2 linked regions of the Struthio camelus genome follow. The protein of the gene in region 2 purifies or fractionates together with the protein of the main gene of each other region. This does not show direct contact. Links are inferred from orthologs where the notes say so. Each region holds a gene or a part of one and is shown on either strand. Other genes may lie near its edges.

The links. Proteins that work in one complex are often made in the same cells at the same time.
Region 1: the proteins of AKAP11 (region 2) and PRKAR1A purify together in Homo sapiens (affinity purification with mass spectrometry; 3 studies listed by BioGRID and IntAct, counting the BioPlex papers as one, with this or other methods). This does not show direct contact. The link is inferred for Struthio camelus from reciprocal best matches to the Homo sapiens genes AKAP11 and PRKAR1A.

The regions. Positions count from the first base shown.
Region 1 is NC_090960.1:3,399,868-3,409,724, reverse strand, and holds the start of PRKAR1A (cAMP-dependent protein kinase type I-alpha regulatory subunit), read left to right. Parts: upstream 1-5,794; 5' UTR 5,795-5,940; coding exon 5,941-5,974; intron 5,975-6,425; coding exon 6,426-6,488; intron 6,489-7,541; coding exon 7,542-7,720; intron 7,721-9,857. UniProt on the Homo sapiens protein: Regulatory subunit of the cAMP-dependent protein kinases involved in cAMP signaling in cells.
Region 2 is NC_090942.1:189,551,004-189,561,191, reverse strand, and holds the start of AKAP11 (A-kinase anchor protein 11), read right to left. Parts: upstream 4,092-10,188; 5' UTR 4,008-4,091; intron 3,937-4,007; exon of another isoform or gene 3,793-3,936; intron 1-3,792. UniProt on the Homo sapiens protein: Binds to type II regulatory subunits of protein kinase A and anchors/targets them.

The DNA of each region.
Region 1 (9,857 bases), on a different chromosome or scaffold from region 2:
TAATTGTAATTCCTCTGTAATTATCTAAAGATCGAAGAATGTTCTGATATGAGAGATCAGAACAACCCAACATTGCGAGAGGGAGACTGGGAACACGCACAGGACCTGGCAGCGGGTGGGAAGGATGGGTTCTTGCACAGCCTGGTGTGCCCAGACCAGAGAAGCAACTCTGCTTGGTGAGACTGTGGAGGGATAACTTTCAGAGACGCAGGCTCGCTTCCCAAGCTCCTAGCATGTAACTAAGTCACGTGGCCCCGATGACCATCTTCCCTTTCATGCTAGAGGAGATGAGGAAGGGCTTTGAGGAGAAATGGAACAAAACCTTCATATAATACACTCACAGCAGCAAAAACTTGGTTCTTGTTCAAACAGAGAATGCAGGAAGGCATCTACACTGTCTATGAGACTAGAGTATACCCAAAGCCAAGGTAACCTTAGCTATTGCTAGCAATAGCCTCCGAGTTCATGTGGATGCAACTTCTTGACTTCTTTTGCAAGCCATGCTGAATCAATGCTCTTGTGACTGGCTCCGAACTTCTTCAGGTATTTTAACTACTGATCCCCATTACTGGAGCACATGAACATCTCACGAGCTTGCATTCACCCTCCACCCAGAAAGAGTTTTCATCCTCTTCCTGTTGATGGGAAGCTGAGATGAAGGGAGGCTAAGTGACTTGCCACATGAGAGGCAGGAAATCAGTAGCACAGCAGCAAACAAGAGCCACATCTCTTAATCGTCTTGCTGTTTCAGATTCAAGGGTTACAGTTCGAGAATGAAAAAGACTATATCCCATTGCCGCAGCAGACAGCACATACCAAGGAAGACTATGACCTTTCAAAGATGTATTGTTTTTAAAGTAGGTTCCCTCCATCTGGGAAAATATTCTATTATCTGGAGGGGGAAGTAGGGGAGGAGGGAAGCACAAACTTGCATCAGAAAACACTTGATTCTCTGGCCAGTTTGTTGGATGTCAGTCCAGACCAAGAATAGTGGATCCAACTGACTGCATGATGTGTTTACTTTGCCACCTGCTTTCAGAGACAAGCCTATAAGTAAATGGCTGTTTTGAATGCTTTTGTGTGTCTACTGAACTTGCGGCAGAACCGTGTCACAGATGATGCTCTAAGAAGAAACTTTTCCCAGACTGCCAGTTCGTTAAAAGCTTGGGAACTTAGGATACTTTTCAATGACAGTATTTACATTCTGTTGCAAAACAAACACCGATTGTATTTCACATGCGTTCCTGGAAAAGAAGTCAACGGTATCTGCACACTGTCTCATTGCTCTTTAAAATCAGTTTGCGTCAGAGAGATCTTACGAGTCAGAAGAAACAGATTTGCAGACACTGGAGCAGTTCATGAACTCCCGAAGCTGCCCAGAGAGTTGTGTAAAGTTAACCGCGCAAAACAAAGAAGGTTTGCATACAAACTGCAGGAAGCAAAGACCTGCTGCTCTCCTGTTTCCCTTCCTCTCCCTAGGGGACTAATCACCACAGGGTCTTTTCTGCAGTGCTTTGGATGCTGTTTTCTATCTCCCAGTTTCTGTGAGGCAGCACAGAACTCCAGCCTGCATTTGTAACCCTTGGAGTGGGAATAGGGATAAATGCAGAGTTGAGGAGAGTCCCTGAAGTCCTTCGGATTCATGCACGGAAACCTAGGTAGAGTGCAGCCAATAAATAGTCAGGATTGGGCCTTTAGTAGCTGATCTGAGAAAGGTGCTTGGGGACCTCTTCCCTCACTGTTGAGGGGCAGGTTAACTGTACCACTTCTTAGGTCAGAAGAAAGGGAGAACATTGACTTCAACTGAAACAGACGGCTGAGCGGCCAGCAGAGGGCAAATACCTGTGTTAGAATTTAATTGGGACATCGTGGCTTTTTCAAAGTGTCACTGAGCTTTTCCTCAAGTAAAAACAGGAGAGCTCAGTGACATACTTCAGATAATAACGGCACGCCAGCTGCACTGCCTCTCTCACCCAACGGAGTTGTTTAGTAGTTACTCAGGAGGTAAAATGTTCCCAGCGTTGCTCCTTGGCTGCTGGAAGCTTTCCTCCGGGAACCACGCTGAGCGTGGGGAGGGCTGTGTTCAAGCAGGCATGCCTTGCAGATGTAAGTGGATTCCCTGACTGGTCTATCTTTAAGATGTGGGCACTTCAGGGCATGTTTTCTTGGCTCTTGGTTACTCTGTTTGAGACTTACCAGTCATTTTCTTCTTCAAAGTAACATACGGAAATGATCTGAGATCTGCTGCTCAAAGCAAACTTGTTCTGCACTGGAGATCCTTACGCAAAACTGTCTGCCCAACTGATGTGCAGCAGGACCAAAACTGGCTTCCACATACCACCTTTCAGGGTCCAAACACAGGTATTTTAGTCTACAGCAGGGGTCATGCTGGGGTTTGAGTGGGAAGCCCAGGCAATATCTGTCAGATTGTATGGTTATTGCTCACACCAATTCCTTGCTCTGTTCCTTTATCACTTAAATTCTTCTTCTCTTGCTCTTCTTCTTCTCATGTGGCAAAACTACAGATGTTGATTCCAGATTTATTTACAGTCAATCTCATCCAGAGACTCAAACTACAGGGCAAATATTGTGCATTGCTCTGCATTGTGTGGCAAGCACCATTTTTTTTCTCTGTGCATACAGGTAAACTGAAGCATCACACTGAAAGCTGTCAAGTTAACGCAGAGAGTCAAGTCCAGAGTTCAGGATGAAATCCAGAAGCCCTCACCAAGGCATCTACTGCTGAACTGTGTAACGTTTTGTCTGCTCATCTATGGGTTTTCCTATGGTCACACTATACTGTTTCAGTGGGACATGATGTGCAGCAGCAACAGACAGTTATTTTCTATGCTAGTTAAAGCTTAAACAAAACTACCAGAAGATATGCTCAAAGTATGCAGCGTAAACTCTACCTGTGAGCTTGCCGCCGTGCGCTGTCAGCTCACGGATTTTTCTTCCGCTGACTCCAGTAGATGTGGGTTGTAGGGCTGACGGCAGTTTCCGTTGGTAGAAGGAACCATTCTGTATCACCCAAGCTTTTTCACGTCCCCCTGAGGCAGCGCACACACAGCAGTTGATCGGATCAAGACAGAATTTTGCATGTTGTGCTGTCTCTTCAGACGATGCTTGTCTACTCAGGATGATAGATTTACATGATTTAACATGTAAAGCTCTGTGTGGGGGATAAACACAGGCTGCTTCAATCTGAGAGCTGTTTGATTCATTTGCTTTTAATCAGTGACTTCTCTGAGATGATGGTACTTCATTGGCAGAAAATGATACTCAGTTAGGGTGGTATCTTTAGTAGAAACACCCACTGTTGTAATTGCTGTGCAGCACTCCAGATACCGAGTGGCTCTGCTGGTTCTGCTGCCTCTAAAATAGCTATCAGGATCCTTTTTTTCTTCCTGCGTGCACACAGCAGGAGTAAACTTCCGTGCTCAAATTCCTCATCTTGACTCATATAACTTTCTCCTCCCTGAGGATGCAATTGTTCACACAGGTGTTTTTCCCAGCCTGGTGATCTATGCATTTTGCATTTTCCTTTCAGATGGAGCCATTGACTCCTCAGCCACTTCAGTGTCAAGCTATTCTTCGCATCCCTTTAACGCTGCTCCTTGTGCCCTCTCCCACGCCGTGCTTAACGTTTCATGTGCGGTCGTCTTACCTGGCTGCCTTGGCATGGACCTCCTTCCCCTTAGCTGACCCGCCATGCCAGGAGGCTCTCATTTACCTCCTTGATGAAGGCTGCAATGCTTCATGCTTGCAGGAGGATCCTGAGTCAGCCAGGCTCTCTGTGGGGTTTATATGATTGCATGGTGGTAAACAGAGTGGAAAGCCTTGACTTTTTCCTTCCTGGTGACCATTCCACAGCTTCTATTACAGTTTTTCAGAGTGTTGATAAATAGCACCATAAAAATTATAGTAATAAATTTAGTCATTGTGGGAACAGGGCTGATGGTAATGCAGGTTACTTGCTTAGGAATGTTTATTACTTAATTAGGACAGTTAAGGCTAGGGTTTGACTGTAATGCAGACCAAATGCAGTACGGTTTTGTTTGTTTTTAATTTTTCTCAAGTCTTTAAGAAGCAGCGTAAGGACTCACACGTGAATATGTACCAGCGTACGCTTACGGGGAGCGTGATTTAACTGTGACAGCAGATAAGTCACTGCTGACTCACGGGGAAGGAGCTGTGCAGAGCCAACGGGAGGGACCTCGCCTCACGTTGGCCTCGCAGGGCTCCTTTCGAAAGCCTGTCCCGCTCGCCTGGCCGCGCCGCTGCGTCACCGTCCGAGCTCCCTGGCTGCGGGGCTGAGCTCGGAGCACGGTACAACTGTATCCTGGTTTTCTTAACGCAAAAAATGTTGCAGAACAGGTTTTCCACGTGGGTCCGAACTTTGGCCCAGGCCCGGCAGATGGGATCTGTCCCCAAACCACAGGGCACATGTACAAACAGGGAGGAGCGAGATGGGACAACAGCAGACAGCTTGCAAAAGGGAAGGCAAGCAAGAAAAAGCGCATGGGGATCTGCAAACAGCATTCCCCCCCCCCAGTGTAGAGAAACTTCTAGTAGTTTTCAAATTATAGAGAGAAATATCGACGTACGACTAGAGGAGCAGGTAGATTTGGGGAGTGCCCTGTGCTCTGGTAGTCCTTCACGAATACGGATGATTCCTGGCAGTTAGTACTGAGTCGGATTCGATCTTTGCTCAAACCGCCAGTTTTTGGCTCAGCGTCAGCAAATCTCAGACCCGGGCGCCTAATTCGCCCCTAAGGGACCCGAAGCCGCCGCGCCGGCCTGCTGGCTCCGCGTGCGGCAGGCCGGAGCCGACTTCACCGGAATTTACCGCGTTTAGGGGGGATTTTCGTCACTCTGCGACACCGACCGCCCCCCCCCCCCCGCCCCGCAGGGGGGGTCCCAGGGCGGCAGGTGCCCGCGTCTCCCCTCAAAGCCCTCCCTGTCTCTGACGCCCTTCGCAGGCGGCCGCGCTCGCTTGGCCGCATCTCCTCCGCGCCCGCCGTGCCCTGTGGAGGGGACAAACGCGTTTATTGGGGTTCGCGAGTGTCACCCCCCCTTCCCCCCCCCCCGCCGCGCACCTCTGAGGCGCCTCAGGGCTGCGGCGGGCGCTGCCCCCTTCGGCAAGGGCGCCCCCGCGTGGCGGGCGCGGGTGGCGGGCGCGGCTCCGCCCCGGCGCCGGGCAGCTTTAAGGGAGGCGCCAAACCTCCGCCTCTCCTCAGCGGGCCGCGCCGCGCCGCGCGGCGCCTTTAAGGTTGCCGCGGCGACGGCTCTGGGCGAGAGCGAGGCGCATTGACGTCACGCCGCGCGGCCATTGGCTCGGCCAGCTGGTTTCCGGTGGGAGCTGCCGCCGCTGCTGCTGCCGTCGCCAAGGCCGAAGGCCGGGAGGGGTGGTGGGAGCCCGGCGGAGCCGCCGCCGCGCCGCGCGGTGAGTGGCGCCCGCCCGGCCCAGCCCGGGGGGCCGCGGCCTGGGGCGGCTCCATGTTGAGGGGAGCCGAGCTGAGCCGAGCCGGCGCCCCCTTCCTTCCCCCCCTCCCCGGGGCCTGCTCGAGGCCCGGCCGGGCTGCACCGGGCCCCAGGCGGCAGGAGAGGCCTCGCTGCGGGGGGCTCCCGCGGGGCCCTGTGCGGTGCCGAAAAAATACCCCCCCCCTCCCCGTCCCCTTCCCCAGCGGGGCTTGACCACTGCACGGCCGGGCCTCGGCGGCGCCGGCGGGGGGGGCTCGGCAGGGCTGGCCGGGCGGCCCCGGCGCCGCCGCGCGGGAGGGGCCTCTGGGGAGAACTTTGCTCCTGCGACAGGCAGGGGAGTTATTCGGCGAAGATGCCGTGTTCGTGGGGGTTTGTCACTTCTTTGGTGCTTACCGTGCTGGGCTCGCTCATCGCGCGGGCAGCAGCAGCTCGCGGCCGCTGCCTGTCAGCAGCGCGATGCAGCTTCACGCGGCTGTAGGTCGCTTTTTTGGTAGGTTGTAGTTTGTAGGCTGTCATGGAGCACCCGAGTTTCTCCGGGGCTGTTAATTAGTATTGACCTTGGCTGCGCGAGTTGCCAAAACAAAAGAAGTAACTGGAGAACTTTAAGGCCGCGTTTCAGTCCGTGCGAACTCCAAACTTGGTGTTTGTGCAATGCGTGATGCATCTGCGTCCCTGCATGCTTATGCAGGGATTAGATGTGACAAGAATGAAACCTCTTTGAAGTGTTAGCGATTTAGTATTAACTCTAGGCCTCTAGTAATCTCTAGTAGCATAATTCAGAGGGGCATAGCGTTGTACTTTCTATGTGGCCATGCGTGCTGTGTTTCTCAGCCTGCTGCCTGAATAGGATAAAATGCGTAATACAACTGTGCTACGTGACTTTTCAGTGGCTTGTCATCTCTCAAACTTATTTTGTCTGATTCTTTTTCACCCTTCAAAAGCTGATCCTGGGATCATCATATCTTACTGCCTATTCGTAGGTGTTGCCACAACCCTTATCCCAGGTAACTGTCTTTATATTTCATCAAAAATGCCCTGAGAAATTCTTTCCTGTTTCTTTAGCCATCTCAATGTTAGTTGTTTTGTGAAGAAAATTATGACTTGAAATGGATTTCTGTGTGTGTGTATATATAAATATATGCATGTATATATATGCACACACATATAAAACTATCATATGTATGTATATAACCTGAAAGATGAAAAAGAACTGCTTAAGCACATTTTTTTTTGAAATTTTTGTTTCTGACACTGTAATTTTAAAGTCTCCTGAAAACCTGACGTTGTAAGATATACGTTTAAATATGTACTCTTGATAACATACCTTCAACTGTAAGTATTGGGGGATTGCCATGTATTCACTGAAATGGATATGAAGCGTGGGCCAGGTTAAAGTATAGAAGCTTTTTAGGGGAAACACCTTTAATGCCTTAGTTTCCGTTAATGGGCACTGCTTGGGCATTTGGGGAACTGGCTTTGGCTTTGACCTTAATGTTTCTAATACTTCCAGTGCTTGCCTTTCTAATTCCCAGCTTCTCCTGACCTGTCTTTCGATTGTCATCCACCTGGCTCCATATAGAGCATACAGTTCTGTTTGTGATGTGACCTTCTCATCTGTGAAATCTTAGACTTAATCAGCAGAAAGCTTAGCTGGAAACCTCACTGATAAGCATCTTGTTCCTTGACTTTGAATGCTCACTGAACATAAATTGTTGAGGCCTTTACAGCTCAATTGCTTGCTTTCCCTCTTATGCTTGTGGAGTATTTTGTAAAGCACTCGAAATTCTTATTTCTTCCCTCATGTTAAATAAGCTTTTCTAGAAGCAAGATCAAACTGTGGGATTTAGTGTCTCTCTTACTGGATACTTCCTAGCTTTTTTCTCTTGTTGTTTAGCTGCTTTACTAGACTTGCAGATAAGAGATGACTTTATGCCGTGATGTTATTAAGATGATAATGCAGTGTAACTTTCTTTTTAGACAGCATGACATGCCTGACTGTATCAGGCAGCAGCATCTTCATTTCCATTGGTTTATTTAACCTTCTTTTTTCTCTTCAGCAATGGCAGCTTCTAGCAGCAGCAGCAGTGAGGAGGAGCGTAGTCTTCGAGAATGTGAACTCTATGTCCAAAAACACAACATCCAGCAACTTCTGAAGGATTGCATTGTGCAGTTATGTACAGTGCGACCTGAAAGACCCATGGGATTCCTCAGGGAATACTTTGAAAGATTGGAGAAGGTAAAAATAAGTGCTGGAGGGGAAGGAGAATGGAGCAACCTAAATTTACAACCTTTCTATGGAATTTTAGAGGCTGACCTTCAGATACGACCAGTGTTCATATTGATTGTTTGAAATTGGAACTAAGGGAAAGCTTTTGTCAAACAAGTCTTACTTTCCATAATTTTTACCAGTTGATCATGGTTTTAAAGCATTTCTGTAATAACAAAACATGTATGGCAAAATAGAAACTGAGGAAGAAATTTATCTAGCTTAGATGCAGATATAATCCCAATCTAGTGCTTCCTCTTAGAAGCTAATAGATAGGATATACTGTTCTTTCTGCAGTCCAGTGATAACTGTGGTGTATTCATCCAGCAGATGCTGGCAGTAGGCTTTTGGTTTATTATATTGAGAAAAATTATTTACAATGATTTAGGTGTAGCACAGAAGTAGGCTAGTGATATTTATCCAGACCTACCTGAAATCGAATTGAAATACTTGTATTTCAGCTTTCCAGGAGAGCAAGCCAGTTCCTGCCTTCTTTCAGTAGCTCGGTGTTGGTGTGTTTTGTTTGTTGTTCTTGCCGCATTTGTCTTCGAGGTGCCTTTGACTGTTTTTGCTGTGAAGTTGGTAGAAACATTCTGGGATCTTGAGGATGGAAAGCATTTTTGTCAATATAAGATAGGCATCTCAATGCTCGCATTTGAAACAATGATTTTATGTTCATTTGAACAATTAATTTTAAATTCCAATATCTAAGCAGACAGGAAAAGAAGCTGTTGTGAAAAATGTGAGGTTTTTCAAGACTAATACAGAGAAAACGGACTAATACAGACTAGTTGTATCTAACTACTGTATTCAGACTATATCACTAGTAAATAAGGTAACTGTGGCCTTATACAGCAGTCACTTGTAGGTACTCCTTTCAGTACTTTTATGCCAGGTATATGTTTGTCTTTTGTTTTAGGTAGGAATTAACAGAGATCAGAAGTATGTGTTGTGAAAAGGTTCTTGTAATGGTTGGAAAAATGAGCAGATGCTGCAGATTTACCTTACATAGTGTTTTTTGGTTTTGTTTTTTAAAATGACATCCTGAAAAAACTCTTTCAGAATACTAGCAGCAAACTAGATCCTAATAGGGTTTTTAAAATCAATTGTCCCTTCCTGTTGCCCTGCTTCCTTTCCTAGCATAGATTTTCAAGTTTCTAAGCACTGACAGATTTTAAAGGTTTGTATACCAACACTTGTGGTGTTATTGCTTTAAAAATTATCAAAGTTAATTACCTTACTGCCCATGGAATAAATTGTAAGCTAATCCATGTGTGAGCTTATAAAATGGGAGTAGTCATCTTTTTCCTTTAGTGGACTGACATGCAACATGTAATATTTAATCTTGAAACTTAGTTTGTCTTTAGGAAGAGGACAAACCTAGCTCTGGACTTGGTTGTTGGTATTTCAGAGTTGAATAACTCAAGCATGTTTTTTTATGGTGCAAATAGCTGTCTGTCAGCTCTGTCGGCCTACAAGAAAGCTGAAAATAAAAATGGTTAGGTAACTTTTTTGCTTGCAAATTACTCTTATAGTTTTGATCAAGGTCTCTCGTTATCAGGTATATTGGCATAGGTTATGCACATGCACTAATGCAGTTGTATCTACAAGGGAAAGCACAGCATTTCTCTTACCTTTTTGAATTAAAAAAAAATCTCTGTAGCTTGCTTTTTTGATGTAGTTTTGCCTTCCAGTCTAATGGATTGGTCTTCATTTAGCCAGGTAGGATAGTACCTTAATAGCTGTGAAATAACAGAGCAGTGGACATCCTGTGCTACGTGAATGAACTTTGACATCTCTATCTGAAAAGCACAAATGCTAAGTGCTATTATTAACCAGCTCTACCCCAGTACTCTGGTTGAGCAAAAAATGTTTGGATTTGTCTCTTTCAGCTTCCATAGGTAATGTCTGTTACATCTTTAACGAAACAGCACTGCTTTTCAGTGTACCTTCTGAATCTGTTACACTGAATGAGACTGGGGCTGAGATACAGTGTGGTGGGTGTTTTTGACTGAATTTTGAAGTTTTCATTTAAAACTGGAGCTAGGTGGCTCTCTTCTCTCTAGTTATCCTGACGGGTCATCTCTCCACAAAACACACCTACAGA
Region 2 (10,188 bases):
CAGACATTCAAAAAAGGGGGGAAAAAAAAGAAAAGAACTTGATTGTGGGAATTGCCAATACCCGCACTAAACTAAGGAACAAGGAATACACATTTAGTTAGCTTTTCAGATCTCATTAGGTAACACGCAAAATTCACTAGTGAAATCAACGCCAATAATTCAATAGGAACGTTGCCCTGGTTTTCAATTTTTTACATAAATTTATTAAAAGTCAGCGTGCGCTTACAAACATTAACTGACACAGAAAGAAAGTTTATGTTATGTCTGTAAAGGGCAAATGTGCTAAGTAAATCTTTGAAATAGCTGTGCACATATACATGTCTATGTTTAAAGGTATACTAGCATATTTAAGAATTTGAATTGTATATCTGATAAATTTGAACTATATGTAATATATTCCATTCTTATTAAATTAAGTTCCAACAGACATTCTAGTTGAGGACAACAGTATATCTATGCTTTTGTTTCAAAACATATTTTTGCTGTAGTATTGTTCAAGGAGGGGGGGAGGGGAAGAAGAGACCTTCCTTTTAAAGCAAAGTACTTTTTGTGCCTTCAACACAATGACCTAAAGCAGCCAAAAGAACTTGGCTGACAATTTCCAAAAGCCAGGCTTAATCAAAAGCTGAGCTTGGAGACATTCATTCCAAACATTAAATTTCTTTTTTTTTTTTTTTTTTAAAACAACATGCACTCCTTTGTAACTTTAACAAAGTAAATGCTATTGAAAACCAACTTAAACAATCTGGTACTGACAAATCGACAGAATAGTCTGATAGATGCTTTTCCATTTCTTATTTCTAATAATTTATCACTTTCGCTAACGTGGTTGGCAGTTTTGAAAAAGCCTATTTATAAAAACGTCAAGTTGTCTTGAACGTACCTATATCCACACTAAGAAAAGGTGGAACAAATTCAGTTCATGTCAGTGAGCATTACTGACAATTCTGAAACACTGAATTTTCTTTTTCTTGTTTGCTTCTAGTTGTTTTACATTGAATTCTTGTTACATCGGATGCATGACGTGAATAATAAGCTTCACTACTTTCAAAAGAATTCTTAATTTTCTCTGATTAGTTCATTGCTAAAAATATTTTTCCAGCATTAAGTAAAACATAAATTAAAGTCTAAATGACTTTGTTTTTTGGTCAGAACTACATGTGCCTCAATTCATTAACTGCATCTTTTGAAATACTTCAGAACACATTCCAATTAAAAGTATGCTTGTTACTATGCTCATAAGGTCTAAAAATAGAGCACTGTTGTTCATCAATTGTACACTAAGATCTACCTGAAGATTTGGCTCAAATATTTTCTTTATAAAAAGACCTCCATTCCCTTTTGGTTCACTGATTCCACTCTTACAGTGGTATTGCCAGCATACTGCATCACTGTCTTTAGCCTTCTTTTTGTAAAAAAGATTTTCAACATTCAATTATTAAAACAGGCAATCATTTCAAAAAAAAAAAAAAAAAAAAAGGGCAGCCATTTGTTCCAGAATATATGGCTGAAAAATCTGGAAAATTTGCAGTTTTCCATCTACCCTGAATTGAACCTCTTTGTTATTTTTAAAAAAGTTGGATAAGCAACTACCACAGAAAATTGTCTCTTTTAATACTGCTACAGTATAATGATAAACATTTCACATTTTATCATAAAATAACTACACCATAGAATGTTATAGAAAATATTAACATTTCTCACGCTGTATCTTCTCCAAAACTTGAAAAATAAACTCTTTCACTATAGTAAACAGCAAGTACTCATCTTTTCCCTGTGCAAGTTGACTCAATATTAAAATGATTTTTATTTACTTTCTAATTGCATATCAGCAACACAGATGGCATCAGAGCCATAAAAATAGCACTAATCAGTTGAATGCCACTGTAGCAACACTAAAGAACCATAGAATCATTCCCTTTCCTTCACCCTTCAAAAAACCTTTTACTGTTTTTCACTTTTCCTCCCTACTACACAAGGAGGACTTTAAACAAAAGGGATATTTGCTTTTGTTCACCTAAAGGAAACATTTTTAAGCCACTACAGGGAAAAAAAAAATCAAATTAAATATCATCTAAGCAAGCAGACCTCTCAACTGTTAGAACACCAGAAAACCTTTTAAAGCATAAAGAACACCTGTTAAAACATAAGAAACTTTTTGGGAGGCGGGGTGAATTCTCAAATATAGCCTTTAAGAAAAATATTACCTAACATACCAAAAACACCCATTAGTCTAGACTTTGGGGGTTATGCAATTAACTTCATGTTTTTGCACTTTATTCTGTTGTGTAACACAACACAGCTAAACTTTCTTTTTTTAAAATGATTGTGTAAGTAACAGCATTTCAATAGTAGCATTACATTTTTCAAGCAATCTTATTTCCCCTGGAGAAGCACTTTGCCAGAGAATACCCTGTTTAGGAGGGTCTTTTTAATACTGTAACATACCAAATGATTAACAGGAAGAGGGAATAATCTAATTTATTTTTATTATTTTTCCATACTGTGCAAGACTTTCCATTGCTATACTCTTCCAACTGTCAATATATTTTAAAGAATCTACAAAGGATAAAAAAAAATATTATCATTTATCAGAAAAGACAGCACAATTTCATTACTAAGTCTCAAAAAGTCACCTTGCCTGCTCATGGATGAAGACCAAGGAATTTGCCTGGACAAATGGGACCAGCACTATTTATAAATAGGTAATTTCTCAAGAATTAATACTAACAGTATCTCTCACAAGACTAAAGACTAACTGTATAATTATGAAATAAACTTTCAACCCAAGTAAGACTGTCTTTCCAACTCTAATATGGACAACTTAAGTGCACTGTGCTACCATTGATTTTATTACTATTGATCTTTCCCAGACAAAATAAAACTTATTTTTCACCCTATTTCATAGTGATTTATTTGCACTGCAATAATATCTCAAGGCTTCAATGCGAATCTTATTGCACAGGATCTACAGCCGCAGTTCATAACCTTTTTTTTTTTTAAATAGATATTAGGGAAAACCACAGAAACCTACAGAAAGAAGTAACTTCATTAGACATAGAGAGAGCTGCACAGAAGAGCGAAGAAAGCGAACGCACAACACTCCCTCCCCCTCTCTTCAGCAAGGAAAGGAATTGGGAGAAGGATGGGGAAGGGGAAAAAGAAAAGCCACTTTTAAAATGCTAAACGCCGAGGACGAGGTGAACTTATTGAACCCGTGTGCATCAACCACGAAACAAGCCACTAGGCAGCCGAGACGGCCTCCGCCGAGCGGGCTAGCGGACTTCCCCGGCCGGCAGGCCTCCGGCGCAGCCCGCCGCGCCCCGCTGCGCAGCCCACACGGAGGGGGGTCGCCAACACCGCCCCGCCGCCACCGCGGCCCAGGGCGCTGCGCTCCCCTCAGGTAGGCGCGCTGCTCCCACCGCGGGCGCAGGGAAGCGCCGGGCCGGTGAAGAAGCGCCATGCCCGAGGCCAGGCAGAGCCCGCCGGGGAGGAGCCAGCAGCGGCGCACCCCCGGCTCTGCTCCCCGCAGGTGCGGGGGGAGGGGAGCGCGGAGAAGGGGCAGAGCATCCTCACCTCCCTGCCCCGCCGGGAGCCACCTGTGGGGACGAGCCCCCGCCGCCCGGCAGGCCGGGAGCCAGCGCTGCCCCGCCGCCGCCGCCGCCCCGCCCTCAACGGCTCCCCCAGCCTCGCGCACGGACGGAAGCAACGGCCGCCTCGCCCCCCGCCGCCAAAAGGGGGGCGGTGGGGGAGGGAAGAGGGCAGGGGGGAAGAAGAGCGGGCGCCCCGTACCTGACTGCCTCCTCAGCATCCGGCGCCCGCAGCCATTTCGCCTCCTAAAGCAACAGAGCGAACACCCAGCTCGGCCCCGTCGTCGCCCGCCCGCCCGCCCGCCCCCGTTACCGCCGCAGCCCCCCGCCGCCGCCTCCCCCCGCCCCCCCTCCGCGCTCTCGGCGCGCGTGCGTGCCGCTCTCGCGACGATTCTCCGCCCCCCACCCAGCACCCACCGCAGTCTCGCGCGCGCCCCCCCCCCCGCAGGAGGGAGGGCGTCACGTGGCGGCTCCCGCCGCGTCCTCATTGGCCGCCAAAGCGGGAATTCGAAGGAATCCTGGGAAGGAGGAGGAGGAGGAGGATGCGCTCGCCAGCGCCCCGCCCCGCCCCTCAGCGTGGGGGTGCGCGCGCCGCCCCCGCCCGTTATAGGCGTTACTCGCCCGGTAACGGGTGTGTGTTCCATCTTCTCTACTTAGGAGCTGCGTTTTACGCGCCTTCTCCTGGCAAAGTTAGGAACAAAACGCACCTCGTGTCTGGCCCAGGCCACCTGTCCCGTCTGCCCCTCCAGGCCTCGACAGGCGCCTTCTCTGAGGGGGATGCTGCGAGGTGGCTGGTGCTGCTGCTGCCAGCCGAAGAGCCTCCGTGGCCAGTGCTGCTTCGTCCCATCCACAGAAGTGACGGTACAGTCACGACCAGTGTCTTCCCTGCAGCAAGAAGCATGGCATGGCATGGTGTGAGGCTACTGCCCTTCCCTCAGCACCTGGCGTGGCAGCTGCAGCCTTTGCACAGCCCTTGAAAAGTTGCGTGAGAAGCAGGATGCCAAACTCTGTCCTCCAAGGCATTCGGGAGACCTGCCAGGTGGGTCTTTCCTGCCTAGTCAGTCTGGACTTAAGAGTTGCCCCCTGGTTGCATGCAAAAACCTCTCACGCAAGGCTTGGCTTGCCACCTGGCTGGCTGGCTCAGCAGGGCAGATGGGTTAGAGGCTAAATCTGGTTTTAGTCACACAAGGCACAGAGAGCAGACTCTCAAACTCTGCCTGAAGCCCCCGAGCATTTCTTTCTTTCCCATCCCCTTTTTAAACTCAGTGTTACCGGGTTCCTCAAAAATTTAGACGTGAAAAGATACGCCATCAATACGCAATCTATTTTCAAGTTGAGCTATGATAGTGATGAGTATTTAACAGTGCGTGCTGTTGGAGCATTGCATTTCTTTCTGTCTGCATAGAAGCAGTGATCTAATAAAAGCTCATGCAGCTTCCCAACATTGCTCCATTACAGCACCAGCTCTGTCAGACACTAACATGGCAACAGCAAAGGAGGAAACAAACCAGAAAGTCTGTTGACTGCAGTGGATTCTCTGCACTACCCGTCAGCTGTGGATAGTCTACCGCTGTAGGCTAACAGTTCTGTCCTTCCCTCAAAAAAAGACACTCCCAAAATCCAGACAAGTCTTTCTGAGGCTCAGCATGTAAGAGTGAAACTAAGGAAGGGGAACAACAGAACCAGAATTCCACTGTAACTAGAAACTCATGCTAGGTGGCATGGGATTGCAACAACTTTTCCAGGTCAGAAAAGAAAGAGCCCCCACAGCTGTTTTTAGCACGAATCCAAAACTTTATATACTGGCAGAAAAGGAAAGAAAACAGATGCTAGCCTTGTAGCTTTTATGAGCTAAGGATTTCAAAGTGTGACCCATCTGCTTCACAGAAAGAGACAAAGACAGAGAGACTATGCTGACTTCCTACTAAGTTGTGTTTATCTCTTCTTCCACTACTACCTGAGCCCTATAAAAAGACAGTGAGAGTGTGTTCTTGCCACAAACAAACGAACCCTGTTTGCTATTGGATGTCCATAACTTTTTCCACGCGATTCCTGGCTTCTGTTTTTACTTAAGCCTTAACTTTTACTTCTGTTTAGTCCTTGATAATTTGCTCTTTCTGGGCTTCATAATCATTTTAGCCACTTCAGAAGTCAGGATGCGTATTCACTTATTCATATTATCAACAGAGAAACTTAATTTTAATTTGTCCTAAAAACTAATAAGCTATGGGGCAAAGCGTGCAAACCATGTAGGCTAGATAGATAAAAGAATCAAAGGATCACTGGTTCTAAAACGCTAGTAAAGTGGGTCGAACAAAAGGTTTCTCTTATTCCCAGGGACTACAGATCCCTATGGGATGGGGAGAAAGTAAATGAGTAATTGAATTAAATTTAACTCAGGTGTGTCATCATTTCAGTGCTCGTTGAGACCATGCTATTTTATAAATTCACTGTCCTTTAAGTAAGGAAATTGTAACAGTTTTGCAGGTCTTTGGTGCCTTTGTTGACCAACTCCTTGGTTCAAGGTACCTTTCAGTTTTCATAAAAACTAAAAATTCTGTAGAAGGGTTTTGTTTTTGTTTTTCATATATCAAGACTTACTGTAAGTAAAAGTGTTCCAAAACAAAATAGATCTGGAAACAACATAAACATGAGAAAGAATGCTTTAAAAATAAATTCAAGCCCATTCTTCCCTTTGGTCTATAATTCCCCTTAGACTATTCAGAATAATGATTTCCTATGGTTCTCTGCCAAAGCCTTGAAAAAAAATCAAGATTTAACCTCATCCGGAAACTATGAAACATAACCCACAGCACACCATTGTTTGTCAGAAAAGTGTTTTTATATACAATATTAAAAATGGAAATAGCTTTAGAATAGCGGTTGTTTTTTTACAACTGATTTAAATACTGCCTGTGTAAATGTATAGGAATATTAGCTGGTGAGTCAACACTTCTTAAAATGCATATTAATTATGAAGAAATAGAGTGTCAGTTTCTGCGCTCTGGTAATCTGTGTCCTGTAGAGCACACGTTAGTCTTACATTTTTCATAAACTTTGGGGTGGGCAGGTGGAACAGGGGGGAGTTTCACAGACAGCAAATTCAAAAGTTGAGGGTCATTAATAAAGCAGATATCTAGTGGAATATATGATCGAAAGAGCAGCATTCCCTTATAGTGAAAATACTGAAATGAAAGGTGAAGAATAATGAAGCACTTTTTTCAACTAATGCATTTTCCTACTCAATACACAAGTATAGGTAGATAAACCCAAAGCATACATATCTAACATAGATTTGACAGGAATCAGACTTATCCAGGGGACTGATATAATGGAACATAGTTTTTATTTGTCTCATTAGTTACCACAGGAGCATTTCCATGTTTCAGGAGGGGTATACCTGATGGGGATATATCGGGTTGTCCAGGGGCTGCCATGGTTGTATTGTCAGGAAAGTTTGGTTGTTTGCCAAAAGCGGGTGTGTAAAACTTCACTGCTAGTAGGAGAATATGGACCTTGCCTAGCAACAACATCCGTTACCAGGCCCTATGAAAGTGAGTAAACACAAGCTGGACTTAATGGTAACTTTTCAGGATGCAGAAGAGTTGGTAGTAGGATCCCTCAGGAATCAGGGCAGGGACCAGTTTTATTCATCTTCATCCAAAGCAGGGAGTGCGGAGTGAAATGTCCAGGGTTGAGGATGCTACTAAATTCTTCGGGGCAGGCAAATTCCATGCCAATAGCAAGGAATATGCTCACCACAAATAATATCTCTTTTAGCACTAATCAGAGATGGAATAGTGAGTTAGATGGAGCCTTTTTGCTGATCCAGTGGGGCTTCTCTTAATGTTTTGGGTTGGTTTTTGTCCCATTTTCTTTTTCAGGTGAGGAATACATAAAACTTTTCTGGATATACTTCCAAGTTTCAACATCTTTCTTTTTATCTTTTGTAACCATATGCTGTAGGTGTTAAATGGTTATATGGAATACTGCCCTCATGAGTTTCTAAGGATGGAATGCTATTAGAAAGTTCATAAACTATTTAAAGGGATATTTTCTGATTCTATAAGTTGTATACTTCTCTTTTAAGGTAACAGAATATTTCTAACAAGTTATAATTTGATCTGCAACATGACAGAAATGAATGCAAGATAGATTGTGATTTACCCCTGGACATTGCTGCGGTTTTGTCATGTAGACACTTGCAGTGTTTTCTGCTCTTTCTGTATCAAAAACATATTGAGCTGTACCTTTAGAATCTTTTCTAGCAGAAATATTATTGTGTCACTGGTACTATCGTGAGTGACTATCTGCACCTGTCTAATAAGCTTGATATTTTCAGTGTAACTGGCTTAGCGCAACTTGTTGAATGTCTAGCTCAGACTGACTTGTTTGTCATCTCTCTAACATACTCAATGCCAGTTCTATAAAAGGAGATGAAGCACTAATCTGTGATTATATGGCAGTTTTCCATTCATTTTCTTATTGGTCTCAGGCTAATATTTTTTTCTTTGTACAGGAAAGCTACGTAGTTGCATAGTTCAGTCAGTGGTTTTTTTTGATGGCACCATCTTTGAAGAATGTCCCTCTATACCTAAAGCTTTATGATGTCCAAGCAAGACTTTAAATTGCATCCTATAAACTACACTGATGTAGTAATATGTAGTAATTTGCCTGCCCAAAGGCAGATAGACAGTTTATAGTCTTGCCATGCCTACCTTTAACTAGAGACATAGCATGCATTTCTTGAAAGCCTGGATAAGCCTTTCCATTGATCCTCTTGTGGCAAGCTGGGAAGGATCTGCCATGCTAGATACTACTTTTCCCCCCAATCTAAAGTTTGTCTGATGTGAACTAATGATACAATTTCTTGAATGTCTTTTTTGTGGCCTCTTTCTTTATAACATAGCTTTCTGCCTCTCAGCCTCAGCTACCTGCTTCTGCATCTGCACTGCTTCTGGACTGTGCCAGCATGAACATCTGTGAAATCAAGCAGTAAATGAGATTGGGCTGAGAAGGCTAGAAAACAATCTGCTTTTCTTCTTTTTTGCTGATCCTGTTCACCAACATAATAAATTTGTCAGCATGGCACTGGGGTTAGACACAGAGACAACTGATAACAGACACAGTTTAAATTGGCTTGTTCTGCCACCAAGTGCATACCCATGTGTTGACTTGCGTTGCCATTTAAATCCTGCTCAGTGTCTCATTGAAAATGATACTCTTAACACACCTATGAACTAAAAACCCGGAACTCTTTGAGTGTATAATTTTATTAGTCATCCTGACGTTAACCTTTGGCCGGTGCTGGACCATGATATTTGTCTCTGTCAAGGGTTCAGTTTATGGCATTTATAACAACATCTTCTGGTTTCTTTTCACTGAACATTGCACAATCTGTTGTTCCCAATGACATGTTTGAGAAGTAATCTTTATTTGCATGTTCATGAGTATTTTAGCTCACTGTTTTAACAGTGAGAATCTAATCATCGTTATATAAATATGAAAAACTATATTACAACTATTCTTGGTTTTTCTCATCCGTGACTTGAAAACTGAAACGGGAGTTGGATGATCTGTAACGTAAGTAAATTATCTTCCAAAACAATATACATAAAAGATGTAATCCACAGACTATATTCAGAATTTATCTGTCAGTTGGCCAGTTATGTCCTGCTGACAAGTGAATTCTAAGAGACATCTTAATAAGCCTTTTGATACAAAATGGGAAGCATCACAGATGGACTTTATAAAAAGGTGCATTGTACTGCATAGAGAGAGTTTCAGATGCTACAAGATTCTTATCCAATGCCTTAAAAACACTATCTAGATTAACATAATTTCTGTGCGTCGTATTTACTTAAAGGGTGTGATAACACCATCGCTTTGTAACACAAGAGTGTACGATAATAACTAGAGCTGGCTAGGAAGTGAAATTTTTATTCTACAGGAAATTCCAGCTTGTCAATATTTTGTTTCATTGAGCACTGGAACAAAACACATTGGCTGGGCTGCCTTACTGGCAAAAAATGGAACAATCTATTTCTTTGCCAGCTGACATGTCTGGGGAGCCAAGAAACCAACTGAGCAGTCGGCAAATTGCCAGATAGCTAGATACCCAGGCAGCTGAGTTACAGCAAACAACCAGCTTGGTTGGATTTCTGGCCGGCAGCCAGCCAGATCACCACTTTAGCTTCTGTAAAAAGCTTTGATGAAACTGGTGCAATCCGACATTTTCAGTGTAAATCTGTTCAGTTAGAAAATGCTCAAACCCCTCTCAATAACTAACTATTATTGAGTCAGTTGTTAATGACTGAATGCAACCTTGCCTTGCTTTGGATTCCTTTTGGATTTCTTCAGCTTTGCCTTGTGGTTTATGCACAACTTTATCATGAATATGAGCTTCTGATAGCACTGAATTTTCCTGTATTTATTTGATCCATGATAATACTCAGGCCCATGAGGGAATTTTCAGGTTGTCCTTCACTACTAGTTATGTGATTAGTATTACCCAAATAACACTTCATGCCAGGAATACCCAATAGTACCTGCTTCTGTATCCCTGCTAACGAACAAGTACCACTCTAGACAATAAGCT